Notamacropus eugenii: one gene and its partners. The protein of the gene in region 4 purifies or fractionates together with the protein of the main gene of each other region. This does not show direct contact. Links are inferred from orthologs where the notes say so. Each region holds a gene or a part of one and is shown on either strand. Other genes may lie near its edges.

Region 1 (8,105 bases), about 28 Mb from region 4:
CATAAAATATTAAGAAAATGAAATATCACTTTGGCAACCATGTGGAGCATGGATTATTGGAGAAAAGAGGCAGGAAGTTTAATTAGGTGACTATTACAACAATCCAAACAAGAGATAAAGGTCTGAACTAGGATGGTGGCCATGTGAGCAAAGAAAAGGGGATGAATGTGAGAGATATTGGTGAGGCAGAATTCACAAGAGTGACAACTATTTGAATGTCAAGGGTGGGGAAAAGGTCAAGCATGATTCTGAGATTAGGAACATGGATGACTAGAAGAATGTTGGTCCCCACTGTAAAGTAGTGAAGTTAGGAAGAGATACTTTGTTTTTTGAAGGTGGGATAGAGACACAATGAGTTCTATTCTAGACATGTTGAGTTTGAGATGCCCATAGCATATTAATTTAGAGATGTCTGATAAGCATTTGATGATGTAGGAGAGATTGAGGAGACGGATTGGACCTGCATAGATAAGTCTGTATGTTATTTGTATGGGATTGATAGTTAAAGCTATGGTAGTTGATGAGATCACCTAGAGAAAATTTGGAGATAGAAGAGAAGAGAGCCCAGGACAGAACCCTGAGTATTGTATACCCACACATGGGGATAGGATAAGAATGATAATCTGTAAAGGATACTAAGAAGGAGATGCTGACAGGAAGGAGGAGAAGCAAGAGAGAAGAGTGATAAAAATCCAGGGAGGAGAAGATGTGTAGGAGAAAGGGGTGACCAACAGTATCAAATGATGTAGAGAGGTTAAGAAAGTGACAAGGACTGAGAAAACACTGCCTGATTTGACAATTAAAGGATCATTGGAGACAGCAGTTTTAGGTGAGTGATCAGGTTGAAAGAGTTGAGAAATGAGTGTGAAATGAGAAAATAGATGCATGGAGTGTAAATTGCTTTTTCAATTTGTTTGGCTGTGAAAGGGAAATAGATATAGGAAAGGAGCTTGAGGCAACGATAGCATCATATAAAGGTTTTCTTAGGAATGGAAGTGAGTTGTTCATATTTAAAGCAGCAGGGAAAGGTACAGTGGCTAGAGATTGAAAATTAATGCAAGACCCTCCCTCTCTTGCAGAGGTGAGAGACTATAGGTGTGGTATCTTGCATATATTGACAGTCGTTGCATTGGTTGATTTTTTACAGAATTGGCATTTATTTTTCCTTTTTAAATTTTTTTTTTAAAATAAGCGATGGCTTTCTGGGAAGAGAAAGGGGAGGGGAAGGGATAGGTTTAGGAATGATATCAATGCATAAAGAAGAGAAATTAACAGAATTAGGATTAAAAAAAATTTGAGAAAAAAAAGCAATGGTTGAAGGGGCAGGCTCTTGGATAGGATCAATGGCAGAAGCTGAGGGGATGAAGTTTGGAAGAATGGTCATAGGGTAAGTCTGGAGGTGGGGATAGGGATGGGAATGTGAAAATGACTTTAAGTGTAAAGTTGAGGAGAAGGAGATGGATGGCCTCTAATTTTTTTTTTTTAGTGGGGTATTTGGCAAGGACCTTTGTTGAGAGAGAGGGATACTGATAAGGTAACTTGAGGAAAGAAGAGGTTTGGAAAGATGGTGAGGGACGTGGGATATTCAAAGCAGCACTCATTGAACTACTAAGGAACTAGAAACCAAGTGGGTGTCCACTGGCTGAAACAAAAATGTTACAAGAATAGACCACAGATATCACTGTACAGCAAGAATGACAAAGGTGTGGAGTTAAGAGAAACTTGAGAAGATGTGTATAAACTGATGCAGAGTGAAGATAAGTAGAACCAAGGAAACAATATTTACAGCAATGGAAGCAAAAGAATGAAAAATACCTCAATATTCATGGCAAAGAGTTGGGAAGGGGTGCTACTTGGACGTGTTATGTGAATGGTAAGATGTGGTGGTGGTTGTTGTTCAGTCATTTCAGTCATGTCCAACTCTTGCTGACCCCATTTGGGATTTTCTTGACAAAGATACTGGAGTGGTTTGCCATTTCCTTCTCTCGATCAATTTACAGATGAGGAACTGAGGCCAATGGAGTTAAGTGACTTGCCCTGAGTCACGTAGCTAGTAAATATGTGAGGCCAGATTTGAATTTAGGTCATCTTGTGCTTTATCCACTGCACCACCTAGCTGCTCCTCAAGATGTGGTTACTGTCTAGAAAACCTTGGTTTAAATGTTTTTCTTCTTCAATCTGTACACCCCTCCTCCCAAGGTTGTGTTATAATGTATTTAAAATCTTAAATACATTTTAAATTAAATTTAAATACATTTTAAACTTAAAAATTAATTTTTTTTAAATGGGGGATTTGGAGGGAGAGTAGAAATGCCCTGGCCTTAAAAGGCAGGAGAGATCTGGTTTTGCATCCTGTCTCTGATACTGCTGAAGAGCTGTGCAACCATGAGTAAGTCACCGAACTTCTCCGAGTTTCGATTCATTTACCTTTAAAGAGAGGATTACAATACTTATATTACCTAAATTACAAGGTTGTTTGGAAGAGCCAGTGAGATGATGTGTGTAAAATGCTATATAAATGTCGGTCATTATTTCATTATTGCTTAGTGCCTTAGGTGTCCAGTTCTGGTGATAAATAATGTAGGATTATAAAACCATTTAGAATGAAATCCTTGACCTCAGGGGGCTTACAGTCTAGTTTGGAAGACAGGACGTAGAGAAAGTTATGATGATAATTAGACTGTATGGATTGTTCTTGAAGTGAGAAGACATGGGTTTGATCCTCTCCTTTGATGATTCCTGATTGTGATTCTGGGCAAGTCATTTCCGCTTTTGGCACCTCAGTCTCATTATCTGAAAAACAAGGAAAAGAATACTTGCCCTCTGTGCTGTAAAACAATTAGATTAGATTGTTTTGAGGAAGGAACTTTGTAGGCCTTAAAGAGAACTGTTACCATTTATTACTGTTATTAATCTTAGAGTGTTAGAACTTGAATAGGATCTCAGAGATCATTTTATCCAACCCTTTAATTTTACAAGAAAGGAAACAGACCTAGAGAGGGTGGGATAGGAATGGAGAAAGGAGTAAGCCTGAGTGAACTGTAGTTTAAGAGGCATGCTTGGAGTGTGGATGGAAAAGAGGTACAAAGAGGACTGGAGAAGGAGCTAGGAGACCTAGGTTCTATTCTTAGCTCTATCATGGCCTTGTTACTGTCATCTTGGGCAAGGATGCTATCTATTAGAGCTCAAATTTCTACATCTGTAAAATGGATATAAGAATCCTTATCTTGCCTACTTTATAGTTTTCAGAGATGGTGAAAATCTTAAAGATCATTTCAAATAACAGGGATTCTTAACCTTTCCTGTGTGTCATAAACCCCTCTGTGAATTTGGGTGAAGATGATAGATCCCTTTACAGAATAAAAGTTCACTGGTTACATTCATAATTAAAGGAAAGGGTAAAATTTAGTTGGATGTTAGTGAAAATAAAGATATTTTTTCCCCACTCAAATTTATAGACCCTCTGAATTCTATTAACAAAATCCTTGAGGGTCCCCTGGGGTCCATAGAATCCAGATTAAGAAACCCTGCTCTAGGGATAGTGTTACAGTGTAAAGAGCACTGGATTTAGTCAGAACAATTGGGTTCATATCCTAACTGTTGCTTACTACCTGTGTGACCTTGGACAAGTCACTTTTATTTCTTAGTACCATATTGTCATTGTTAGTGTCACTGTATATTGAGAATGTTGGATTAAATGGCTCTGATGTCAATCGATCAACAACATTTACTAAGAATTTACTCCATTCCAGGCAATGTTATCACAACCCAATTCTCAGTCCTCCTCCTCTCCCCTCTCTGTCCTTCAGATGAAGGAAATGAGGTCTAGAGATATTAAATAACTTGGCTGAGGGATAGTTTGTGACAATAGTAGGTAATAGAACTGGATTGATACCTTGGCTTTCTGACTGCAAATCACTTGCACTAAACACTTCTTCAGAGAGTTGTTGGTAGGAGCAAAGGCATGTGAGAGCACTTCACAAACTATAAAGGGCTCTAAATACACATGCAGGGGATTATTATTAGAGGTTGCTAATGGAAAGAGCCTTGGACTTGGTAGTCCAAAGATCAGTTTCTACAATTTATCAAATTACCTTGGAAAAGTCATTTTCTGTAAGCTTCCTCAGTTTCCTCATCAGCAAAATTCAAGTAATGACATTTGTGTGCCTTACCTCATAGTGTTGTGAAGAAAGAAAAAGACAACCTTAAGCTGTGGACAATGTTACTATTACCAGTCTCTGCAAAATGGAGGGAACAATCCCTGCCCTAATTACCATCATTGGGATGCTGTGAGAATACAATGTATGTAAAATGTACTGTAACCTAGCAAAGGGCGATACAGACATGGGCTGTGTTTATGCAGGAGGCTGAGGAAAATAAGAGATGTAGGTGATATTCAGGTAGAAAGAGCATTAAAATTAAAGTCAGAAGACCTGGATTCAAATATGAACTGCCGTATTCTAACTCTGGGGCCTTGGATAAACCACTTTCCCTCTTTGGGACTCAGTTTCCTTCTGGGTAAAATGAGGGGGTTTGGATTCAATAATTACTAAGGTCTCTTTCATCTTTAAATTCTGAGATCCTAAGGATGGGGTGGTAGGTCCTGGTCTTTTTCACTGAAGGATCCCTGGAGTCCCTTCATGGGTCAATCTGAACATCTCCCTCCCTCCCATCATCTCCCAGCGACTTTGCCCCATACTCCAAAAAAGGCCAAGGGCAGGGACGGGGAGGCTGGATTGAGGAGGGCCCTGGGTCCTGAGCCAGGTGGCAGCTGCTTTGGATCTGTACTCACGTGGGGAGTTGGGGCGGGTCCCCACTGTGGCTGGGCGGGCCAGGTCACCTTATATTACTGGCCCTGCTGCTGGTGGGAGAAGGACGCAGCCAGCCTTCCCTCCGTCTTCTCGTCTCTCCTCTGAGCCTGGGTAGCAACATGGCCCACGGCTTTCTGGTGCTAGCGGCTCTAGGCTGCCTTCTGATGCGGGCAGGCTGCGGGCATGCCGGCGTCACCCCGGGTTCGCTGGTCTCCCTGCTTACAGCCACCGTGGCGCTGTCCGCGGGGGTGAGTGCCTGGCGCCGGCGTCCCCCGCTCTTCCCAGTCCGCTAGGGGGGATGGATCTGCGCCGTCAGGGGGGGAGGGAGGGAGGCAGGGACAGAGGGAGAAGGGGGGAGGCCGGGGCTGTGAGCTTCCTCTCCTAAACAACCCCATTTAACTCTCTATTATAAGTTTTTTCAGATACAACGCTAGGAAAAGGGGCATAATTAAGGTCTATAATGGAAAAACTATTCTGTTGCTTTGTAAGTATGATTTCCGGTCGCGGTTTCAAGCTGGACCCCTCTTTTCCTCCCTTTGGCTGTTATACTGGGATATTTACTAATCGACAGCATCGCCTTTGGAAGTACTCTTCTGCCTTCTTCAGCATAACCAACTGCTCACCTTCCGCAATCTTCTTTCTTCCTGGGGGCAGAGTGAATGGGTGCATGCGAAAAGTTTTCTCTCCCTCTTGTGTCCAGCAATGGGATGGACCCCGCCCCAGCAGAGACCCAGGGATCGATTTCGATTGATCTCGGGGCTGGCCTGTGTTTGTCCTCCGAATGTGCAAACACCATTTGACTGTTTGCTGCTGGGGTGTGGGTGGGTCGTTCCGGGAGGGGCTATATAGGGCTTAAAGTTCGGGATTTGTCCTGGTTGTCTGTGAAGGAGGTGGGGGGAGTGGGGCAAGGCTGTGGCGGAAACAGGCACAGTCTGGGTGGTCTTTTTAAGTGGCTGTTTGTGAGATCTGTGAAAGGCTATGCTTTAAAAATTTGCACTGGCCAATCCAAGGTACCTAGATTCTGGAGAAAATGATGGAGAAAAGGCAACTGTTCTTGGGATTTGGATTTTAGAGCTGAAAGGGACCTTCAAAAACAGAGACTGTTAAGGCTGGAAGGGCCCTTAGAATGTAGTGTCAGACCCCAGACAGTAGAATTTAGAGGTAGAAGGAAGATTAGAATGGAGGATGTTAAAATACAGACAATGGGGCTGAAAAGGACCTCGTTCCAACCTCCTCTTTTTACAATGAGAAAACAGACCCAGAGATGTCAGGTGACTTATCTAGGTTTCTCAACTATTTAGTAGCAGAGCTGTGTCCAGAACCTAGGTCTCGTCACTCCAAGTCCAATGCTCTTTAAAATACCACCATGCTTTGGAGCCAGACTTCGGAATGCTTGTTTGTTTGTTTTTTTAAAGCTCCACCAAAAAGGAAAAAGGGAAATCCCATTTGATTTCAAGCTCTGATCAAAACTAAGGAATGGAGTTGGGGTGAGAAGTACAATTTTTCTATCTCCTAAATATTTAGGAAAGGAGATTGGAGGCTCCAGAGTAAAGGGGAGAGCGATCATGGGTTCCCTAGCTGAAGGCACTGGGTTTTGACTGCCACTTAAATCAGTTTTCTGCCTTTGTGCCGCCTTGCTGCCTTAAGTGTTCAGAATTCAAGCAAATAGGATTTGTTTGGTATCAAGAGAGAGAAATTGGAAGTCAGTGGAGGATCAAGAAAAAAGGAAAACAGAGGAAGGATTCTAAAAGAGAAATTGAAAAGGATTTGGAGAAAGGATTCTGGGAGCCCTCCATGTTGGAAGGTGGGGGTAGAGAATGATGTGAATCAAAAAAATTAAAGTTTGAGCTGGATAGGGTCTTAAAACTAGAATATTAGAACACAGACCAGAGAATGTTAGAGCTAAAAGGGATGCTAGCCCAACCTCCTCATTTTACTGATGAGGAAACTGAGGCCCGAAAGAGAGGAAATCCCTTGTATAAAATGACCTAGTGGAAGAGTCAGGGATAGAGTCCACATATCCCAATTCTCATCTCAGTATTTTTTGTAGAAATGCGCTACAGAAACCCCATATCTTTCCAGGATACTGGTTGCAGACTGCAGAAGATTAGGTGTTTCTCTTTGAGTCCTGTTTGAGATCTTAGTTTTCCTCTGCAGGAAACCATTGTATCTTCATTTGAAATTGACTCTGGTCCTGGAACTTGAGGACTTTTGCTGCATTTACCCCTTTGTGGTACTTTTTCCTCACCTCTCTTCATCCTTTTCTTTCCCCAGCCTGTCAGCATGGTGGTAGAACATGCAGAGTTCCTGAAGGCAGGGAAGGAGCCTGGCCTGCAGATCTGGAGGGTGGAGCAGTTTGACTTGGTACCAGTACCCAAGAACCTGTATGGGGACTTCTTCACTGGTGATGCATATTTAATCCTGAATACCATCAAACGAAGGGATGGAACCCTGCAATATGACCTCCACTTCTGGCTGGGTAAGGAACTGGCGTTCTCTAAACCTCTTCCTCCATCCCTGAGCTGAGTACCTACTGTGCAGGGACTGAATGACCAGAGGTTGTTAACGATGTCATGCAAGGGGGATTTCTACATAGGCTAGAAATTCAGATTCAGATCTCTAAGGTCTTTGCCAACCTTAACATTCTAAAAACAACATTCTATGTTCTAAACAACTCTAACCTTCTATGTTCTAACGTTCATTCTAAAATTCCTTTCAGTTCTGATGTTAAAACATATCCAATTTTAAAGTGCTTTCACTGCTTAAAGAGCAGTGAAAATAAGGCTCGAAATAAATCTCCCTCCCAGTCTTTAGTGTAAGTGCCATCAACAGGAAATTCTGGCACCTTTATCAGAGGCAAAGTCTCATTATCATTAATAATTCACTATAGTAATTAGAGTGGTGATCAGTAGATAGAGAAGAAAGGGCACAGCTGGTGATGAAGCTCAGAACCTGTGACCTGGGGAACCACCAGGCCAGGGGGAGAATTATCTGATAGTGAAATTAGCACAAGGACATTTAAAGAGATTATTCTATGATAATCAATCAATAAACATTTGTTAAATATAAAACATAGACATGAACACTTTTGGGTCCTGAATGTGGGATGCTAGGGAACTGGTAGCTTTCATCTTCTGAACCCAGGTTTGTGTTCTAGTCTTAGAGACCTCTCAGGTCCTATTAGGAGATTTGGGTTTGAATCCCAGCTTTGACCCTTATTACCTCTGTGACCACTCTCCTCTCTGAGCTTCTATTTCCCCATCGCTAAAACTGGAATATTCATCCGTTCCTGGG
Region 2 (7,418 bases), on a different chromosome or scaffold from region 4:
GAAGCTTTGTTCCTAAAATTCAGAGTATCATTTTTTTCTTCAACAGCTAAAAATCCTGGAACATGATAATCTCATGTACTGTGGAGTGACCCCCACAATTATCCCCTTTATACATAAAAACTTCAATCTCTTCATGCCAAATCATGAAAAATTCTTCAGTAAACTCTGTCATATCTTCAAGCTATTTTCCAAGTTCAGACATGTCCTAGCTCTGGGACTCAAAGTATGTCATTTAACCTTCACTTAGCCCAGTGCCTGGCACACTGTTGTAGTTCAGTCATGTCCGACTCTTCAAAATTCCATTTGGAATTTTCTTGGAAAAGATACTGGAGTAGTTTGCTGTTTCCTTCTCCAGCTCATTTTACAGACAAGGAAACTGAGGCAAATGAGGTTAAGTGACCTGTCCAGAGTCACACAGCTAGGGTCTGAGGCTAAATTTGAACTGAAGTCTTTCAGATTCCAAGCCCAGTGCTTTATCTACTGTACCACGAAGCTGCCCCTCCTGGCAAATATATGTTAGCTGTTACTATTTTTATACCTGTCTGTATTTGGAAAATATACATTTTTCACATGTAGGCAGAAGACAGGGACTGATTGTGCCTATTTTCTGTTCTGCTCAATGCCTAAAATGGTAAAAAAATAATTAATAATGAATTATATGATATCTATAATTTGATCACTCAATAGGAATTACTAGAAATGCTTCAAAGGGAAAAAATCCACAAATTTCATAATCTACTCCAGAAAGCCTCTGAGGTCCCTTCCAATTTGAAATTTATGATCTGTTTACCCATTTCATCTACTGATGTAGGAGCACAGAAACAAAAAATGGGTGTGGCAAAATATAGACGCATAAATACAAAGAAGGAAAAAAATTATATAGATTTTGAGCCATGTTCCTCTCTCACTGATAGGCAGCTATAGCATATAGAAGGAGTAAAAACACGAGGCTCATAAGATCAAAAAGTAAGTTACTTGCAGATAGGTACTTGTCCAAAATCTGCAGGAACTAAGTTATTTTTAACCCTGAAAAGATACAAGTAAAAAACTGCAAAATTTCTTAATTTTATACGAGTATCTCAAATCACAAACATGAAAGTTCCCCAAAAGTTCTACCTCTTACCAAACAATGTTAAAAATTTGTTTTAAACTTACCATCCTCAATCGAAATCTTTAGAAGTCTATACTTCCCATTCCTTGCCCTGGCAAAGATATCTTTAACTTCTTCACTTGCTGAAAGAAAAAAAAAATGGAAAAAGTTAGTACACATTAATCTTATTCTTTCCTTTTATAATTTAAACAAGGTAAAATATTAAAACATTTCAGAAAAGACACTATTTTTACCAGTTTATATTTCACTTTAATCGTGATACTGAGGATTAATGAAAAAAAAAATATATGGACTCAAATCAGTAATGTTGTGTTTATTTAATCTCAGAGTTTTCTCATCTATAAAAGAGATAATCATATTTGCACTATACAGGTTTTGCATTAAAGATAGATACTAACTTTAGTTACTATATATCAGTATTAAGTTTTTCCTCCATAAGAACAACAGTAAACACCCTTTCTTACCTAAACTAAAAATAGAATCAAAAATTTAGGTAGTGTGTAGCAGAACACTGGTTTTGGACTTCAGAGAACCTGAGTTCAAACACAGACCAAGGACAAAATATTTAACCTCTCTAGTACATATACCTAAATATATAAATATCAAGAGTTTGAAGTATTTCATTAGTTACCATTTCACAGCAGTAAATTTGGAGATAAAAGGACCTTACAGATTATCCCCCTGATTTTACAGATGATTAGAATGAGCTAGGTTTATGTACTACATTTGTCAGACTTCATATATCTCAAAAAATATAAAATACTCTACTGAAACTGGCATAACATTTTTTATATACCTACTATTAATTATCAGTACTACTGTTACTATAAATAGTACAAGTATAGGAATCATGTGAGCTGTGTACAAATATCAAGTATTAAAATCAATAAAATTTTAAATAACGAAGAAAATCAGTGAAAAAAACTTCCACAGCTTTAGGTTTGGGTGTATTCTTTACAGGAGGAATCACTCCACGGTGAGGGTGGAAGTTACTTTGTTACAACTTTCTAAAATCTTTGTGCACTGAGTGTTCCAACAAAGACGGGACAATGGAACATAATTTCAGTTAGAAAGATAATTTGTATCCTTGGAACTTGGCAAATTTCGGCTTGCATTTTTAATCCACAAGAGAAGCTGAAGTCACTATCGCAGAGCAGAATTTTATTCAGCTCAGGTGAGTGCTTCCAGCCTACTTGTTATTCAAACCAGGAACTAACTACAGGTGAGATAGGATTACAGGTGCCCCGTTGCCATTACGGAGAAAAAAAACTCACAAGCTCACCAGCAGACCCTTAGTTTCCAATGAGGAGTCCAAGAGCTGAGAGAGCAATGAATCCTAATTTAATAACCGTAGAAGAAAGGGAATGAATGAGTACAGGAGTTCTGGAAATACTCCCTCCGCGGACCCAGACGGTCCGGACATTTATTTGGTTTCCCAAGCACAAAAGCCTCCAAAAGAATGAGTTGCTTTGGAACTGGCCGCGGCAGTGTCTCTGAGGATTTACCCCACTAGACACCGGGGAAGCTTGACGGGTCCACAGCGGCTCAGCCTCCAGACCCCAGCCCTTGTGGTCAGGGCACGGAAAGGGTGAGTGAGGAAAAAGGCCTGGCTTCCCGGAGGACCCGGCCACCCCACCTTGGCCACCGCTGGTCTTCGCGTCTGGAGAAGCTCCGGCGCCCAAAGACCCCTCTTTCCTTTCCTCCCCACAGGCCGCGTGTGTCTTTTACCTTGGATGCCGGTCTGATGGGACATAGTGGCGGGGTCAGCACCTGGCGACCACCCTCCAGGGCAGATTGGGGAGAACTAGCGGCCTCGGCTGGCGGCTCCAGGAAGTAGCTGCTCCTCCGTAGGCCCGGAGCGTCACCAGAACGCACCCCCGCCCCGCGGCCGCATTGGCCAGCCGGCCCAGCCCAGGCCTGCGCAGTGGAGCCCCTGCCGGGCCGTGGGAGGCTCCCGGTTCTTCTTGGTTGCTAATAGCCACATTAGCTTGTACCAAGAAATATTTACTTCAGTGGTACAGTAATAAGGATATGAACAGTTTAGCTTAGGTCCTGCAGAGCACAGTCCTAACCTAGGGCCACACCGTCTTTGGGCTTGAACCCTTGGCATCCTAGCCTTGCCAAAGCTTCCCTGCTAGCCTGGCTAGCTGCAAAATCTCACTTGGACTCTTGGCTCTAGGATCAGTAGCTCACATTCCCTATCCTGTGAGTATCATTGCCTACCTTTCAAAATGAGCAGGCCAAAGATGGAGAAAAAGACCCGCCCCCAGCCTTGAGGTCTAAAGGTGAGGGCCGAGGTACCTTCCTGGTTAGGTGCATAGAGTTTACATTGTGGTGGAGCTGGGATGTGCAGCCGGTCAAAGGATGGGGAACACTGACAGGCAAAGTGCCTCCATGGTAGGTCATTTAAATGTGCCCAGGGTGCAGGGCAAGCCTCCGTAGAGCATTGTGTTTTAGGTGGGGAGAGGACTGATGTGTTTGAATTCAATTTTCCTTGTATCATACTTAGCAGCATATACATTACAACCTGCTCCTCACCTCAGTCCCCAAGTGGTCTGTAAGATCATAAGTGGTAGAGACTGCTTCAATTTTGTCTTTTTGTCAATAGTGTCTACCACAGTTTTAACAAATGTTTGTTATTGTTGAAGCATTTTTAAGTACTTTAGTAGGGTTTTTTGGGGGGGCGGGGGCGGAGGGAGGATTGAACCAGTTATAAAAGTTTTCCAAATAGATGAACCCAAAAGAGCTATAAATGAGAGTGGCAAGAAAGACATTGTAAATATATAGAAAAATACCCTTTTGAATAATGTGGCTTAGCTGGGAAAGTAATCCAAAATGGGAGCTCTCATTTCAGCATAGGTATCAGTGAGATAAAAATTTTCTAAGGGTCCATAGATGAAGTATTGCTGACAATCACCAAATCAACAATCTAGAGATAGTTAGCAGTGTTTTATTATGTTCAGAGCACAGGCTCATTTGTATACAAAAAGAGAGCCAAGAAAAAGCATCAGCTTCAGCAGTCTTATATAAAATGTGAATACATGAGCAGCATAGAAAAATGAAATTTAAAGTGAGTTAGGAGAAGATAAAAGTATACACACTTGAAAGGAAATAGCAGAAGGAGGAAGGTAAGGATATCTGTGAGTTGATAAAAATGGGCTGTGGTTTCTTTCCCAACCTTGATTCTGCAGATATATTGACCTTCAAACCTCTAGAAACATTATCTGGAAGCTCAAACGAGAGACTGGGGCTGTGTCTTCTTTTTCTTTCTTTTAAAAAACTTCATATTTTATTTTTCCCCCAATTACATGTAAAAACAATTTTTAACATTCGTTTTGTAAAACTTGGAGTTCGAAATTCTCTCCCTCCTTCTCTTCCAAAACATATTTCCATATTAGTCATATTGTGAAAGAAAACAGGTTAAAAAAAGTTTTGAATAAGTATACATTGATCTGCATTGACTCCAGTTCTTTCTCTGGAGCTAGATGACATTTTTCATCATAAGTCTGTAGGAATTTTCTTGGATCATTGTATTTCTGAGTATAGATAAATCATTTGCTGCTGATCATTGAACAACATTGCTGTCATCATACTCTTCTCCTGGTTCTGCTCACTTCACTTTGTATTGGTTCTTGAAAGTCTTCCTAAGTTTTCTTAAATTATCCTGCTCATCATTTATTATGGCATTATAGCATTCAATTACAATAAAATACCACAACTGGGTCAACCATTTTCCAATTGATAGGCATCTCCTCAATTTCCATTTCTTTGCCACCACTAAAAAAGGTGCTATAAATTTTTTTGTATATACACACATGCGTCCTTTCCATTTTTTGTTTATTATCTCTTTGAATATAGACCTAGTAGTGGGTTAAAAGGTATGCCTTATTTTATACACTTTTGGCATAATGGTTGAATTAGTTCACAACTGTATTAGAGTCTCAGTTTCCTCACATTGCCTCCAACATTTGTCATTTTCCTTTTCTGTCATATTAGCCAATCTGATTGGTGTTGGATGGTACCTCAGAATTGTTTTAATATGTTTCTCTAATCAATAATAATTTAAAGCATTTTTTGTATGACTATTGATAGCTTTGATTACTTTGTCTGAACGTTGCCTGTTCTTATCCTTTGACCATTTATCAATTGGGGAATGGCTCTTATTTTTATAAATTTGATTCAGCTCTCTATATATTTGAGAAATGAGGCTTTTATCAGAAATACTTGCTGTAAAATTTATTTTTCACAGTTATGATTGCTAACTATGTATTTCCCTCCATTCTGTTTTCCCCTCTGTTTATCCTGTTCTTTCTCTCCTTTCACTCTGCGCATTCTCAGAAATGTTTTGCTTCTGACTATGGCCTGCTGCAATCTGCATTCTCTTCTATCAGCACCCTCTTTCACTCATCCTTACTGTAGGGTAAGATAGATTTATATGCCCAACTGGGTGTGTGTGTGTGTGTGTGTGTGTGTGTGTGTGTGTGTGTGTGTGTGTTGTTCCCTTTTTGAGCCAATTATAGAGAGAGTAAGATTCACCTTCTCCCATCCTCTACCTCCCCCATGTTCCTTTCCACTGTAAAATCTCTTTTGTACCTCTTTTCTGTGAGATAATTTACCCCCATCCTACCTCTCTGTTGTCACTTCTCCCAGTACATTCTTCTTTCTCATAACTTAGTTTTATTGTTTTTAGATATTATCCCATCAATTCAACTCCCATGCCTTCTGCCTACATATGCCCCTTCTAACTGCCCTAATAATGAGAAAGTTCTTAGGAGTGAGAAGTATCATCTTCCCATGTAGGAATGTAAACAGTTTAACCTTATTGAGTCTCTTATGATTTCTCTTTCCTTTTTATGCTTCTCTTGAGTCTTGTATTTGAAAGTCAAGTTTTCCATTCAGCTCTGGTCTTTTCACCAGGAATGTTCGAATGCTATTTCATTGAATGTCCATTTTCTTCCCCTTGAAAACTCAGGGAAAATAGTTATTTTTTCTGAATTCTTGATTGTAATCCTATCTTCTTTGCCCTCCAGAATATCATATTTCAAGCCCTCTGATCCTTTAACGTGGTAGCTGCTAAATCTTGTGTTATTTTGACTGTGACTCCACAATATTTGAATTATTTTACTACTTCTAGGGCTATCTCCCAAAGAGATCATAAAAATGGGAAAAGGACCCACATATACAAAATATTGGTGGCAGCTCTTTTTGTGGTAGCCAGGAACTGGAAATTGAAGGGATGCCCATCAACTGGGGAATGGCTAAAGAAGTTGTGATATATGAATGTAATGGAATACTATTGTTCCATAAGAAATAATGAGCAGGCAGACTTCAGAAAAACCTGGAAAGCTTTATATGAAGTGATGCTAAGTGAAATGTGCCGAACCAGGAGAACACTGTACACAGTAATAGTGTATTTGTCCTTCATTGCCGAAGAAGACCATGCCATTAGAGAAATGATGACATGATTTGCACTTGACTTTGTTTTTGAGTGAGGGAGGGCTGTGCAAGTCACCAGCCTCACCTCTCCTCCAGAGCCATCTGAATCCTGTGACCAGATATTCATCAGGATGACTGGAGATGACCCAGGATGAGGCAGTTGGGGTTAAGTGACTTGCCCAAGGTCACACAGCTAGTGAGTGTCAAGTGTGTGAGGTGAGAGTTGAACTCAGGTCCTCCTGACTCTTGCACTGGTGTTCTACCCACTGCACCACCTAGCTGCCCACACGGTAATAGCCACAACGTTTGATGACTGACTTTTATAAACTTAGCTCTTCTCAGCAATGCAAGGACCTAAAACAATGCCAAAAGGCTCATGATGGAAAATGCCATCCTCATCGAGAGAAAGAAATATGGAGTCTGAATGCAAATCGAAGCAGCTATTTTCTTTTGTTGTTTTGCTTTTTCTTTCTCCTGGTGTAACGACAATCAGCACAGCACACCTGAGGGCTGCTACTGTGAATATATGTTTATTTAGGGTCAAATCACACAGTATAAGCCCTCTATTTACTCAAGACTAAATCTTATTCAAGAAACCAAAGCATTCACAATTCATAACAACATATTACCAAGGAGGCCACATGGCCTTAAACAGACACAAAAATGTACAATATGATATAGCATAACCCACCTTATACTTGTTTATACAATCAAGGGATCCCAGGCCAGGATCTTCCCTAGCACAGCACATCCACAGGGGTAGCACAGAACACAACACACTCCACCCCTAGGTCACAGTAAGTTACAATCTCCTCAATCCAAACAGAGTTCCAAGTAAAGTCCTCTTGGGGGTGTCTCCTTCATCCCATGT
Region 3 (7,587 bases), on a different chromosome or scaffold from region 4:
GACACTTGTTCTAAAGCTAAGGCACCACAGAAATATTATTATGCCCATTTCATTTGTGAAGTGGCAAATAAAATAATATAGGGAGAAGGTTTTTTTTAAATTGTAAAATATAATGTAATGTGCCATTACTGATGCTGTTTCTGGTGCTATGATTCAATGCACTTTGTATGGAGATTTGTAGAATAGCAATCTGTATTCTAATAGGTTGCATAGCATTTTACATGACTTGTATCCATGTATATAATTTCTATTGGTGGATTCCAAATAACAGATCTTAGTAAGCATCCAAATACAAAAAGTTAGCTGGCCAAAGATCCCACTGAAGTCCTTTTCTGATGCCTTGTCACCTTGGAGAGATTACCACCACTATAAAATCAGGAGATTGTACTAGAGGGGTCTTTCAGGTTACCTACCAGCTCTAAATCTGTGATCCCATGACTCTCGGTTATCAACGGTTATGTCAGTAAAGCATTAGCTCTGGTAGGTCCCAAGCTAGAAAGGCTTTGAATTCCAGCCAAGCAAGTGTGTATTGTAGGAGAGCAATGTGTGTCTGTGTGTCTGACATTTCCGAACCAGCCTAACTGATTTCGAAGAGGCCCATGGCCACTAGTTTGGCCATCAGCTAAGGAATTTTCCTGACCAGTTACTCACAAAGACCAGTCCCTTGGATTGGGGAAAAGTAAAATTCTGCTATGATGTAGGAGACTGTGAACTCCTTGAGAATAGAGATTGGTTTTTGTTTTTTCTTGTGTAATGGATATGTCCAGATAACCTAACTTGTGGGAGATGCTAAAGCCCTGCTTCTGAGAGAAGACATTCTGCATTCTTCTACCATGTGGGTGGGAGTAGCCTTTTTCCATTGGCTACATAGTTGGAACAGGATGTATGTTTAAAATTACCAGGCTAGAACATTCTTAATTTCTCTCTTTCCAGTTGTGTTCAGAGGGGTGAAAGAACTGTTCACTCTCAGGACAGGCATCATGAACTGAACTATTGAGAGAGATAGTCCTTTTCTCCTCACCCCTTTTAGGCCCTGTGACCCTGGACTTGGGGTTTGGGTCTCTTTCATTTGCCCTTTTCACTTCTAGGTCCAGATAAGGGAATCTCTAGTCCCTGGGGGATTCAAGTCCCTTAGAAGAAGGATTCCAATGGGGATTTTGTTGTCAGTCCATCTGTGAAGCCTGAGAACTGAAGGTGGCAGGACTTAACCCAGGGTAGGCTCAAGATGTACAGGAAGTGAGCTGAGTTGTGAACCTCATCCTCCTCCCATTTCAGAATCTGACCTGGATAGGGGTATGAGTGTGTGTGTGTATTATTCCATGTTGGGTGACACATTTACGTTTGTTCTTGCTACACTTTAGAAATAAACTTTCTTTTGTAAAAGCTAATCTGGCTGTTAGGTGGTGAAGTAGAACTGGGTTGTAGGGGAGCCCTAAAATTGAAGGAACAGAATTGGTGGGGGCTGGAGCCAATGACAAGGAGACTGGATACCCATAACTCCCTTGTGAGCACTGGAGAACCATGAAAGAGAGGTGCATAACCTGGCCTTCTGGCAATTCAGACCAGGGTAGTGGCTGTTACATTTGTGTCCCTAGCACTCAGCACAGTGCATGGAACATAACAGGCACTTGATCAATTCTTCTTAACTGCACATTCACGCCAGTTAAATCATCCGTCTTATATATGTAGAAAAAATATTGTAATGTAGGTTTTTGCTCATATCCAAAGAGGCCGGGAGAAATGGAGATGTTTTCATTTTAAATTTCTTTTGGCTGGGGATCCTTGCCCGCCTTTATCATGAACATAAGTGATAATCCTTGGCAGCAGTCTCAGTAAAAAGCCAAAACATGAGAGCATGACAAAGGCATGCCTCATACGTAATGGCACTTTACAGAAATCCTAAAATGAAAATGATCTCTGTTGGTGGTATTTTTTTGTGATCAGGACTGACCCAAACTATTGGGAGCACAATAACAAAGTTTTCCAAATTAAGAAAAGAAGGAACTAGCTCCACTGTTTTCTTAGGTACTGAATTTCTTAATTATCGGGATTCACAAAAACTTGGAATTCGATTTAGCTACTTCCTTTTGGATAAACTTTCTTGGTAAGCCACCTTTAGGAAATCAAGAACTTGTCTTTCGTTCTGTAACACTGCTGTAGAGTGCCATGCCCACGGGCACGGACTGGATACTTATCAAGCTCCAGTGATTTCTTTACAACAGTATCCACTTAGGATGCGGTATAAGCATTATTGGCAACCGGTAAGAGCCAGGGCTTTCCCTCCCACACGCTATCGCTGGCGGGGACACAAGGAGCCCAAGGAGACTGCTGACAGCAGTAGCAGTGAGTGGGACAGAGGAAATCACCCGGCTGACACTTGGGGCGCGGTGGCTGGAGATGATTCACCAGGATCTGGCTTCTTCCTTGCTGGAAAAGCCCCCCTCCCTCCCTCCCGCCGCTTCCTTCCCATCCCCTCCTGGGCTTTCTCTCCCGGGCCTGGGCGCAGGTGGGCACAGGGAACCTGGCAGCGCCTCCTCCTCCCCCCCACTCTTCCCTAATTTAGCAGTCCTTCCGGCCGCGTGACGTCATCCCCCGCACCTCGGTGACGTGAGCGGCGGGTGACGTGGGTGCGGAGGGGAACGCGGTGACGTTGCTATTTAAAGGTCCTCCGGAGGGGAGGATGGAGACACAGCGAACGAGCTTGGTGTGGGCACGGGCAGAGGCTGCGGCGGCGGCGGGGGCTGGGCCGAGGAGCTGCCGGCCGGCCGGGGCCGTCTAAGGGAGGCCGGGGGGAGGGCCCCGCGGGCAGCGGCGGCTGGAGCGGCTGGAGCGGCTGGAGCATAGCCCCGCGCCCCATCGCCCCCGGCCGGGCCGTCGCCTTCCTCCCCGGGAGGCCGGGGAGCGGCTGCTCCTTCGCGGCCGCTGGCGCTGTCTGCCTCCTCTGCTGCTAGTGGGAGGGACCGAGAGACCGCGCTGCCACCCGCGCTGCCACCCTCCCTGCCCCCCGCTGCACTCCTCCTCCTCCTCCCTCCTCCCGCCTGCTCTGCCTGCCATTCTCCCTCCCTCCTCCTCCTCCTCCTCCTCCTCCTCTTCCTTCTCCTCCTCCTTTTCCCAGGCGGTAGCCAGCGGTGGGGTAGGCAGCCTCCCCGCCTGCTTGCCCCGGAGCCCGGCAGCGGAGGAGGCAGCGGCCGTAGCGAGCGGGGCCGGCCCGGGCCGGGGCTGGTGCCCTCCTCGGAGCGCGGGAGAGCGAGGAGAGATCGAGGCGGGGGCGGGTGAGGATGGAGGTGTGAGGCTGGGGAGAAGGAGGACTGGCCAGGCATGTGAGCTGGCTCCCTCGGCTGCAGCTTGCCAGCGAGCACCCCGGAGCCACATTTCCCGGGCCCCCGCGGGTGGGCAGAACCGATCGCATCCTCTGACGGGCCGGTGCAGCCAATTGATACTGAAATCCCCTCCCCTCCGTCCCCCACCATCCATCCTTCCATCCATCCATCCAGCCAGCCATCCCTCCCTCCCTCTCTTCTGGCTGCCTCCAGTCCGCACTGTACTGCTGGGGGCTCGGTGCTGGGGAGAAGCGTGGGGGGCTCGGCTGTCTCTGATTCATTCATTCTCCGCTGGCTGGGAGGTTCGCAGCCTCTGGCTATAAAGGGGGAGAGGGGGAGAGAACGAGAGAGACAGATAGAGACAGAGACAGAGGGAGACACAGAGAGACGGAGAGGAATAAGAATATATTTTTAATTTAAAAAAAAAAAGAGCAGTGAATGAAGGGACCAGCGCAGGCCAGGCTCCATTGTGTTCAGCCGAATAAGGAGGGGGGAGGTAGAGGGAGGTGAGATTTGGGGGGCCGCCTTCCCCGAGATGTGCTGCCGCTCTCCCCTCCTGCTGCCAGCCTTGAAATGGCTTCATTTATTCTCTTCTGGAGATTGAATCGATCCTCCTCAGCCTTCTCTTCCTGTTCCCCACCTCCTCCATGCTCTGAGTCCTAGAGGAGGGGGAGGGAAAAGATTTCGCCTCCTAGGAGTATCGTGCACGTTTGGGAGCTGCTGGGTTTGCGCTTTGAGATTTTTCTATTTAAAAAAAAAATCTTTTTCTATTTGCAAGGGGACAGAAACCGTTGCATTTCCTCCCCATTTTTGGGCTTTGATTTCCATTGTTTTTACCAGTTTTTAAATTGCATGCCCCGTGGTGTCGCGCTCCCCACCCGGTAGACCTGCAGGGTGCCAGGGAGATTTGAACGCGCCGCTCGCTCTCCCTGCAGCTCGGAGAAAGAAGGCGAGCCTCCTGCCAGCTCCTGGCGCGGGGACTGCATCCTTGTGCAAAAGGACATGCGAGCAGCGTCCGCCGAACTGCTTTCTTGTAGGACTCCATGAACCTGGATCGTGCACCGACCCACGCGGACTCGCGCTGTGGAATGAGCATTGGCCTCCGCTGCTCCCCGGCGCGGCATTTTAACTCTGGCAAGCAGATGCCACCTCCTCTGCTTTGAACGGTTCGGGATCTCCACGCGAGACATTCACTTATCTGAGGAAACATCCTTGAAATACCTCCAGACACGCGCGGATCACGTGGGGAATCGACGGCGCTGAAGCCACTGGAAAGACTCCTTGGGAAATTCTTCCGTAGAGCAACTTCGGCAGAAGTTTGCACTGGGCAAAATGGGGTAAGGAATTTCTGCACTGGGCTTCGAATGTTCTAAGTAGAAGATAAGGGTGGGGGTGGGGTGAGGAATGGGTATGTTTTAAACAAAAGACTTTCCTATCCTTGGCTAAATTCCTGATTATGGAGCTTGAAAGTCCGCAGGTGTAAGAATCGTCTTTATAGGGTCGTCTTATTTTAAAGGTGACTTAAGGCCTAAGAAGTTGTCTTTTGAAGGACCTTGAGTTTGTCTCTTGAATGCAATCACAATTTGAATGTTAGTGTTCCACCAGACAAATCCTTCTTAGAATTCTGAAATCTTCCAGTACCAGTCATTACAGAATTCTGTGGTTTGGTTTTCACCGTAGTCTCTCCCCTTCTCTCCCCTCCCCCGCCAAAAAAGGGGGGAGAAGGGAGAAGATTGATTTCTCTTTCTGTTTTTCTGCTTTGTAAAGGTTAGTTGTAAAAAGTAATTGTAAAAGTAACAGAAATAACGACAATAATAATAACTGATGTTTTATGGCGTTTTAAGGTTTGTAAAACAGTTTACATACATTATTTCATCTAGCACCACAGTCCTGTAAATGAGGTATCTGGCTTGTCCTTAATCTCATTTTACGCATGAAGAAACTGAGCCTTATATTTGTGTGACTTGTGGGTCCTGCTAGTGGTAACAGGAGGTGGGATTTGAACTCTTGGTTTTCCTGACTACACCTCTCTTTCCACTACCGCATATTGTCTCATGGCTGCTAGCGAGTAATAAAGGCATTTATTTGGAAATTAAGTGCATCCCCAATATAAACTCTGCTGTGCTGGAACAGAGCGAGACTTCTGTTTTAGGCTCTGGAGCCCAGAATTTGAGTTGGAAAGAGTTAACTTGTCCCTTGGGGCATGAAAGTGGAAATCCAAGGCAGATAGGGTATCTATGAGCTTCAGGTGCTTCTGGGGAGTTTCTCCTGCGGTAGAATGTCTTTTATTTTGCAACTTCATTTAAGGGCTTTAATTTGAATGAAAAAACCTTCCAATCTCTCTCTTCCCCCACCCTGTTTAATGGGGAACTTCTCAGACTTTGCTGCCCACATTCCCCTAAATTATGGATGATAGGTGATGTTTTCTCATTTTAAATCATCTTGATAGGAGGATGAATCAATACTTAGTATAAATTTAAGCATATTTTTCGAATAATTTCAGAAACACGATTTCAAATACTGCCAGCTTTATGGTGTAGGAACTGACAGTAATGTATGCCATTTGTTATTGACTCTCCATCATATAAATGGGTCAGTGTTTTAGAATAACTTATGAAATCTATTATTTGACTATTTCAGTCTTTGGTTGTGTTTGATATTGATTATTGTGTGGACCTGAACTTTCTGTTCTAATTTGTTCAAACATAGGTTCATAGATGTAGAGCTGGGAGGGACTTTAAAGGTCACCTAGTCAAATTCACTGATGTGACAGGTGAGGATCTGTCCAAGGTCGCTCCAGTGGTAGTGGCAGAGACTGTACTTTGAACCAAATTCTTTGACTTGAAGTTTTGGTGCTGCCTCAATATGTATTTAAGGAATTTACATATGGATTTAAGGAGTATGTAGATATGCAAGGAATATGTTCCTATGTAAGGAATATATGTATGTTTAAGGGATTTAGCCAAAGACTTTCAAAACTTGTTCTAGCAGTGTGATTTGCATCTTGTAAAAACGTTTATATTTAAAAAACTGCATGTTCATCTTTAAGGAAAGATTTCAGGACATGCTTTTTAAAAGCTAGAATTTTAAATATTATTTATTCATTTTAAACAGCTTTCTCTTGGGTTCAGTGACTTCCTCATTCATTTGGAAACAGTAATGGCTTTTAAAACTTTCACTTACAAGTGTGAGTAATAGGGAAAATGTCTTTTTATGTGATAGGAGCAACGCTTAATGGAAAAAACGAGTAGACTGGGAATCTTGAGAGTCCTAGCTCTGATCTAGAGAGCACTAGCGCTGCTGTTGTTACCTGGATGACCTTGGGCAATCACTTCAACCATTTTAATCTCTCTGGACTTCAGTTTCTTAATGACTAGATGTTCTCTAAGGCCTTTTCCACCTATAATTGTTTATTCTGCTTTTTTCTCTTTTTCTCCCCTTATCCCACCTCCAGTTTTTGTTCTCCTTAGTGAGATTTCCTGAAGTGTATTTCCTTCAGAGGGAGATAGTTATTTTCTCCAAAATCTCATTTTTCATCACTTTAACAACAGTAATTGGGAAGTAATGACAGCTTAAAATTTTTGTGAAAGTGGTCTTATTTAATGTTGTGTTTCTAGTATTCCAAATTCTTGAAAATGAAAGCTTAAAAATGGCTTCCTTCAAATAGCTTCAGTTTTTCTTTTCTGATTGAAGCATGTTGGAAGACAAATGGAGTGGCAGCTCCTCTCCTGAGAACTGCATCCTCATATTAGACTAAGGAGTGCAAGTGCACTAAGAAAAGTCAATTGGGCACAATCTTTCCACGGAATATTGATCATTGCTACTGATTAAACTCTTGGGACCGTCAGCACATGATACATAGTGACATAATATGAAGTTCGATGCTGTGGTTTTTTATTTTACAAATTTTGTGTTGCTGCTTTTTGTTTTTATATCTCACCCAGAGAGCCATCCCATGTAAAAAGAGGATGACAATGAAATGTAACAAAACTAAGCAATGTATTAACTAAGAGAGATGGTGTAGGTGGTGTTCTGCACCCACAGTATCCCACCTTTGCCAAGAGAGGAAGCAGGTTTCATTCCCATATCTTTTTGTGGAAGCCTCCAGTTTGGTCCTTACGATTACTCGGCAGTCAGTTTTGATTTTGTTTTATTTTGCACTTTCTGTTTATGTCCTCAGCATAATTTTAAATGTGATAATATTCTAAGTCAGGTCAGTTTCAAAGAGGGTAACGGCTTGCAATAAATGATCTTAAAACTTCCAAGA
Region 4 (7,189 bases):
CAAGCTTTGAATCCTCCCCCAGTCTCACAGTCAGAAGGTGAAGCCTAGGTCTTATCTTTTAGACAAAGAATACTTGTCTTTGGGGGAAGAGGGAACAAGATATCCCCCCCTTCTAGGTAGTGGAAAGGGACTAAATTGGGGTATGGGAGGAGGGGGTAACATGGGAGGAGAGTTATGTTAGGTAGTAGCTATATACATGGGGCTTGAGTCAGGACTGTGGTACCCCCGCCCTCCCAAGGAGCTTCAGGGCATTGAAAAAAGACTATTCCCACCCAGTGATAGCCAGGTTTGTGCCCACCCCAACCCCAACCCAGAAAATGAAGGGAAGAATGATGATTCTAAGCCTTGGAGTCTCTCCCCAACAAGGGTCCAGGGCAGGGACAGAACCTTCAGCCACATCACAGCAGGTGGCAGCAGCCTCTCCCGGGGCTGTGTTGAGACCAGCAGCTGGGGCTGGAATTCCAGCTGCTGAAGCCATTTTGAGGGGCCCGCCCAGCTCCTGAAGGCCTCTTGCCCCACCCCTCTCCACAAATCCCCCAGATTTGTAGCCACCTCCCCCAGTACCAGCCAGCTAGTTCACTGCCCCTCCCCTACACACAGGCAGAGTTAACTCATTGGGGTTCCTTCCAGACTCAGCACTATCTCATTGCCTCATATACCCATGGCTAGTCCCCTGAACTAACTAACCATCCAGACTCAGAGCTACCTCACTGTATACCCAGAAACAGGGCTAGTTCATGGCGGTCACCCTAGGGTCAAGGCTAGCTTTCTCCCTCCCCGACCCCATGACTCACAGTTAACTCTGATCGCTCTCTCTCACACATAGCCCAGAATCAATTCCCCCCCTAGACTCACAGCTAGGTTGGTTCCCTTACAGGGCTCAGAGTTAATTCACTACCCCTACTCTGAGAATCAGGGCTAGTGCATTAGGGTTAATCCTCCACACTCACTACTATCTCAGTAGGATTCATCCTCCAGATTTAGGGCTAACTTGATTCCCCCGAACTCAAGACTGTCACAAATTATTACTGGGACCCCTCTAGACCCAGGGTCCCAGGAGTTACGGCTGTTGTGCCTTTCTCTCTTGCTCAGGACAAAGGGCATCCATATGGCACTGGGATTTAGATACTCTGGCCTGCCATTATCTCTTATTTGGACCTGGACTCCCAGAGTGGGACTGAGGCCACTGTATAGAGCCCAGCGGGGAATTCTGTCCCCAGGGGCCCCACCCCCTACCAATCTCAGCACAGAGTTGGAGCCTGGTCTGTTCTCTATTCAATTCAGCAAACGTATTAAAAACCTACTATGTACAAAACACACAGTAACATAACTAGACTATTGTGGGGTTACTCCCTGTACCCAGGGTTCTTCTATAACTCACCCCACAGTTCTGCTTTTCTAGTTTCTTCACACTCATCCTCCCAGCCTTCCCCTCCCAGATATCACCATATTAACCCCAGCACCAGGACAGAGAACTGGCCCCTTTTAGAGAGAATAGGAAACTGAGTCATCTCACCACCCAGACTTAAGACAAGCTTGTTGGGGTTCACTCCTCCAGACTCAAAGATCCAAGCCCTCCTTGCCCCTCCCCTCCATCCCTAGGTCCAGACGCACATGGCCTCCTAAGATCCACAGGAATTGGGGAAAGGGAAAGGAGGGTCTGAGGAGAGAGAAAGGAAGGCATGGGAGCAAGAGAATGAGATGGAATAAAGCAGAGAAGGTGGGGAGGGGCTCATGTTCTGGGCGTCGAAATGGCATCTCCGAGCTGGGATGAGGATGATGGGGTGGTATCAGGAATATCCTTCAGATTCTCTCCCTGCTCTAAGATCCCTAGGGATATTCCTGGGACTAAATCCATGCCTCCAATATTGCTGCCCCAGGCTGGACTCCCCCGACCCAATTCCTCAAGAAGAAAAGGGCCGGTGCGCATGGAGATGCACCCCCGGGGGGGCGGGGCTCTCGAAAAGGGTTCCCCCATCACCTAATCTCCAGATAGCAGCCCCAGACCTTCCCCTCCCCCTCCCCTCCTGACACATCCCCTCGATCCCTCCTCCTCCCCACCGCGCCCTCCTTCTCCTCCTCCTCCTCCTCCCTCCCTCTTTCCCTCCTTCCTTTGTGCTGCCGGCTAGGGCCGGGCCGGGCCAGGGCCCTCATTCAGCCGGGCAGTAGTGTCTCGGAGCCCCGGCCACAGATAACACTCCCACCCACCCACCCGCCCAACAAACCCCAGCCAACTGGACTGGAAGGTGCCCTTGGCTGGCCCAGGAGCGCGCACACACACACCTGCCCGGAGCTAGTCGACGGGCGGGGACACAGGGCCCGGGAGTCACCAAGGGAGAAGATCCCCTGGAGCTTTCTAAAGCCTGCGGGGCTGCACATCTGGATCTAATCTCCAATACCCCAACCGAGTTTTCCTAGCCCTCCCCCACCTAGGGCTCAACTCCGACCAACGAGCCCCCCATTCACACACACCCCAACTCCGAGCTCCTGGCCCCGCCCCACAGGGCCGAGCCCGGCCCCACCCGGAGCATCCCTCCGGAGGACCCCCTTTCCCTCCCTGGTCGGATCGCACAAAGGCGGCCCCCTCCCCCCTCGGGCCCGGGCTAGTTCTGCCTAATGCACCATTTTCCGGGGCCCTCCTGGGGATCCCCCGAAGCCCCCGTCCCGCCCAGGCTCCGGCTCCCACCCAAACTCCTTCTCCCCGCCACTGGACGGGAACACAAAGAGGTAGCCCCCTTCCCCGAGCCCAGGCGGGCTAGGGACAAAGGGTCCAGGGCTGGGGGCCTCGGGGGGCCAGGCCGGGCCGCCGCTCACCAGTCGGCAGGGCAGTCCTCCTGGATCACCTCCTGGTACGCCGCCAGCAGCGCCAGGCGGTGGCCGCTGAAGCTGACACTGGCCATGGTGCAGCCGGCGGGCCGGGGGCTGCGGAGGAGCCGAGGCCAGAGCCGAGAAAGCGGCGAGGGATCGGGCCGCTGCTTCTGCCGCTGCCTCGGAGAGAGACACTGCAGCGCAGCACAGCCCAGCACAGCCCAGCCGGGGGAGGGGAGGGGAAGGGAGGGAGGGGAGAGAAAGGGAGGGGAGGGGAGAGAGGGAGGGAGGGAGGGAAGGAGGGGAGGGAGAGAAAGCTGGGCAGGGAGGGAAGGGGGAGGGGGGAAGGAGAGGCAGGAGGGTGGGGGGCGCGATGCTCCGCCCGGCCCAAACTCCGCTCGGTCCTAGCGCCAGTCTCTACCTAAGAGGGACCCGGTGGGAGGGAGGAGGAATAGTCACGCCCCCTACCCTCCCACCCTCAACGGCCTTCTTCCGGTCCAGATTCCTGACCCCCAGCCCCACCACTTCCGAACCCTCTTGTCCTCCCGCACTGACCCCTTTCCAGTGACACTACATGGTCAGGCATACAGCACAGGTACTATGGGAACACTGCTGCATCACTGCCTTCCCCCACCCATCTGAGGCATCTTCCTTCTCCCTACCTCCCTCAGAAACTCTGCTAGAGCCCAGGGAATTTTTGGTCCCTCCCTCCATCCCTGGACCCATGCCAATCTTAAGCGGTCCCCACCCTTAGTCCATCCTCATGCTCATTCTCATGTTTTATCCCCCTCATCCTTCCTCTGTCTTCATTCCATTCTTACACACAACCTCATCCTCCAGGCCATTCACAAATCATTCTCATCTCTACTTTGTCCTCAACACCATCCCCATGCCAATCCCATTCCCAACCCTTGCCCATGCCCATCCAAATCATCAATTCATCCTCAACCCATTCCTAACCCCATTCTCAACAACATCCCCAACCTAATCTTGTCACCATCCCTTTTCCCCATCTACCCCGTTCCCAAAACTATTCTCAACTCATTCCCATCCCTAACCCCATCATCATCTGTATCCCCATTCCATCTCCAATTGTATCCCTGCCTTTGACAATTTGAATCTTCTACATATCCTCATTCCCATTCTCAAGCCCATCTTCCACCCATTTTATCCCTAACCCGATTTCATCCTCCTATCTTTTCCCCAAACCCCTTTCAATTCTTCTTACGCCATTTCTTATCACTGCCCTATCCTATCCCTGTCTGAGTCCTCAGTCTGTCCCCATTCATATCCCCAATTCTGTTCTTTTTTGAAATAAAATTTTACCAATGTCTTTTGTTTTTACATCATCTAAATTCCCACGTCTATTTTTCCCCTTCCCCTTCCCAAAGAGTCATTATTTGCAACAAAGAATTCTATCCTTTTCCTCGAGGATCACTAACTCCATCCCCTTCTCATCGCCAACTCTGCTCACACCCCACCCACCCCCATTATCTTGGTGAAAATGTCTTATAGGCAACTGAAGATACAGACGTAGAGATTAGAAGAAATATCAGGATATGTTGGGAACCATGATGTAAAAGTAATTGTAGAAGCCATCTAAGTGGCTGATCACTTTATGGAGAGAGAGAGAGAGAGAGAGAGAAAAGAGCCCAGAGTTGTGGAGAAAGTGCTTTGTCAACATTTAAGTGCTATAGAAATGTGTTATTATTAGGAAAAGAAGTAGGACAGGACTGTGAGAAGACAGCCTAGGTGGGAATGTATCAGCATCTTAAGACAATCTTTCTATATCTGAATGCCCCCAAACCCACCACCAAATGACTTTAAGAAGGCCCCTTGATCAAACCCACCTTCTGCATGAATTTTCCCACCAAGGTAGGGGGGAAAATCTATTTTCCCCTAAGTTTGCTAAGACAAGAGGACATCCGAGTAGAAAAAGAACTTAGTTTTAACTCATCTTTTTCTTAATTCTAAGTAGCTTCTGGCTCCACAGATGGACTTGGTTTCCACAAATAGACCCAGCCTAGGGTTACTAGATGAGGAACCCAGAAATTCTAGAATGTCAGAACAAGAAGGAACCTTAGAGATCATCTGGTCCAAACTCCTTCATTTTACAGCTGAGGAAACTGAGAAAAAGGGAGAGGAAGAGAAGAGACACTTACCCAAGGTCACAAGTGTGTTAGTGTCAATGCTAAGGTTCAAAATCAGACACTCCCTCCCCCCACTCCTAATCCAAGGCTCTCTCTACTTCAGCATGATGCCTCCTGTGCTCTGCAAATGAACTCAACTTCTGTTTCTATCCCCCTATTCATTTACATCACCTTCATTTCCAAATATATCTCCCTCTCCCACCCAGAAAGCCATCCCTCATAACAAAGAATTTTTTAAAAGAAAAAAATACAATTCAGCAAGAGTAACTGAGCCTGAAAGTATATGTAGGGTTCCACACCTATAATTCCCAACCTCTGCAAAGAAAAAAAGATGTTTTTAAGGGATATGGTTTTTGAGTAGTGTAATTAATTACACAGCATTCAGTTTTGGGGTTTTTTTTCCATTTAAATTCCTGTAGTCATTGGTTTTACTGATTCTGCTTATTTCATTTTGCATAAATTCATGTGTCTCACCAAGCTTCTAACAATAAAATTTTGGGACAGCTAGGTGGTGCAGTGTACTGGGCCTGGAGTCAGGAAGACCTGAGTTCAAATCCAGCCTCAGATACTTACTAGCTATGTGACCTTGGACTAGTCACTTAATCCTGTTTGCCTCAGTTTCCTCATCTGTAAAATGAGCTGGAGAAAGAAACAACAAAACCACTTCCATATCTTTGCCAAGAAAATCACAAATGAAGTCACAAAGCATCAGACACAGCCTAACTACCAAGTTTCACTAGTCTTTATCATCCCATTAAAATGGTTTCTTGAGGACAGAGACTCACTTATATTTTTGTATTCCCCAGGCTTATCACTATAACATTGCACATAGTAGGTGCTTACTAAAGATTATTTTCATTCATTCATATTCCATTACATTCATGCACCACAACTTGTTTATCATTTTCTAGTCAATAGGTATCTATTTTTGTTTTTAAGTTAATTAGTTAAAAAAATTAATTTTTGCTGCCACAAAAAATGCTGCTACAAATATTCTGGGGTATATAGGATCTTTCTGTCTTTGACTTCCTCGGGGTATATGCTGAATATAGTAAGGTCTCTGAATCAAAGACTGGGGACATTCCAGTCACTTTCTTAGCATAATTGCAAATTGCTTTCCAGAATGATCTGCCCAATTACAGCTCCACCAGAAGTAAAGAAACATCTCTTTCTGGAGGCAGCTAGGTGGTACAATGGATAAAGAGCTAGGCCTGGCTCTCTTTGTGGTGGCCAAGAACTGGAAATCAAGGGGATGCCCATCAATTGGGGAATGGCTGAACAAGTTGTGGTATATGAATGTAGTGGAATACTATTATACTATAAGAAATGATTAACAGGAAGACTTCAGAGAGGCCTAGAAAGACATATATGAACTATGTTGAGTGACAGGAGCAGAACCAGGAGAATTTTGTACAAAGCAACAACCACAGTGTGAGAAGAATTTTTCTGGTAGATTTAGCCCTTCACAATAAGGCAAGGACATAAAAAATTCCCAATGGACTCTTGAGGCAAAATGATATCCACATCCAGAGAAAGAAGTACGGAATTGGATTGCAGAATGAAGCAGACTATTTTCTCTTGTGTTTTGTTTTGGTTTGGTTTTTCTCATGGTTTCTCCCATTCATTTTAATTCTTCCATGCAACATGACTAAGGTGAAAATGTATTTAGTAAGAATGTATGTGTAGAACCCATATAAGATTTCAGGACATCTCAGGCAGGGAAGGGAGAGGGAGAAGGGATGGAGGGGGAAGGAGGGAGAGAAAATCTAAGATCTGTGGAAGTGATTGTAGAAAACTGAAAACTAATACATTAATTTTTTTTTACATTAATTAATTTTTTAAAAAAGGAAAAAAAAAAGAGCTAGGCCTGGAGTCAAGAAGACCTGAGTTTAAATCTATCATCTGATACTTACTAGCTGTATGACCTTAGGTAAGATGGGGATGATAATAGCACCTACCTCCCAGGGTGACTGGGAAGATCCAATGACATTGTTCTTAGCACAGTGCCTGGTGAATGCTAACAAATGCTTATTTCCTTCTTTCTTTAGTCCCTCCAAAGCTACTGATTCCCATTTTTTGTCAACCTTGGTAATTAGCTGGGTGTTTGGAGAAACCTCAGAATTGTTTTGATTTCTATTTCTCTCTTTATTAATGACTTGGGGCAATCTTTACTAAGGTTGTAATTCTTTTGGGAACTATTTGCTCATATTCTTTGACCACATATCCATAAA

What was found.
Region 1: the proteins of DBN1 (region 4) and GSN purify together in Homo sapiens (co-immunoprecipitation; 3 studies listed by BioGRID and IntAct, counting the BioPlex papers as one, with this or other methods). This does not show direct contact. The link is inferred for Notamacropus eugenii from reciprocal best matches to the Homo sapiens genes DBN1 and GSN.
Region 2: the proteins of DBN1 (region 4) and TWF1 purify together in Homo sapiens (affinity purification with mass spectrometry; 3 studies listed by BioGRID and IntAct, with this or other methods). This does not show direct contact. The link is inferred for Notamacropus eugenii from reciprocal best matches to the Homo sapiens genes DBN1 and TWF1.
Region 3: the proteins of DBN1 (region 4) and HOMER1 purify together in Homo sapiens (co-immunoprecipitation; 3 studies listed by BioGRID and IntAct, counting the BioPlex papers as one, with this or other methods). This does not show direct contact. The link is inferred for Notamacropus eugenii from reciprocal best matches to the Homo sapiens genes DBN1 and HOMER1.

The regions. Positions count from the first base shown.
Region 1 is NC_092872.1:442,108,628-442,116,732, forward strand, and holds the start of GSN (gelsolin), read left to right. Parts: upstream 1-4,925; 5' UTR 4,926-4,930; coding exon 4,931-5,059; exon of another isoform or gene 5,060-5,062; intron 5,063-5,224; exon of another isoform or gene 5,225-5,271; coding exon of another isoform or gene 5,272-5,295; intron 5,296-6,226; exon of another isoform or gene 6,227-6,298; intron 6,299-7,085; coding exon 7,086-7,290; intron 7,291-8,105. UniProt on the Homo sapiens protein: Calcium-regulated, actin-modulating protein that binds to the plus (or barbed) ends of actin monomers or filaments, preventing monomer exchange (end-blocking or capping).
Region 2 is NC_092874.1:211,907,645-211,915,062, reverse strand, and holds the start of TWF1 (twinfilin-1), read right to left. Parts: upstream 3,006-7,418; 5' UTR 2,865-3,005; coding exon 2,840-2,864; intron 2,700-2,839; exon of another isoform or gene 2,399-2,699; intron 1,234-2,398; coding exon 1,156-1,233; intron 1-1,155. UniProt on the Homo sapiens protein: Actin-binding protein involved in motile and morphological processes. Inhibits actin polymerization, likely by sequestering G-actin. By capping the barbed ends of filaments, it also regulates motility.
Region 3 is NC_092875.1:473,554,022-473,561,608, reverse strand, and holds the start of HOMER1 (homer protein homolog 1), read left to right. Parts: upstream 1-4,554; 5' UTR 4,555-4,652; coding exon 4,653-4,657; intron 4,658-7,587. UniProt on the Homo sapiens protein: Postsynaptic density scaffolding protein. Binds and cross-links cytoplasmic regions of GRM1, GRM5, ITPR1, DNM3, RYR1, RYR2, SHANK1 and SHANK3.
Region 4 is NC_092872.1:414,375,296-414,382,484, reverse strand, and holds the start of DBN1 (drebrin), read right to left. Parts: upstream 3,176-7,189; 5' UTR 2,901-3,175; coding exon 2,815-2,900; intron 1-2,814. UniProt on the Homo sapiens protein: Actin cytoskeleton-organizing protein that plays a role in the formation of cell projections. Required for actin polymerization at immunological synapses (IS) and for the recruitment of the chemokine receptor CXCR4 to IS.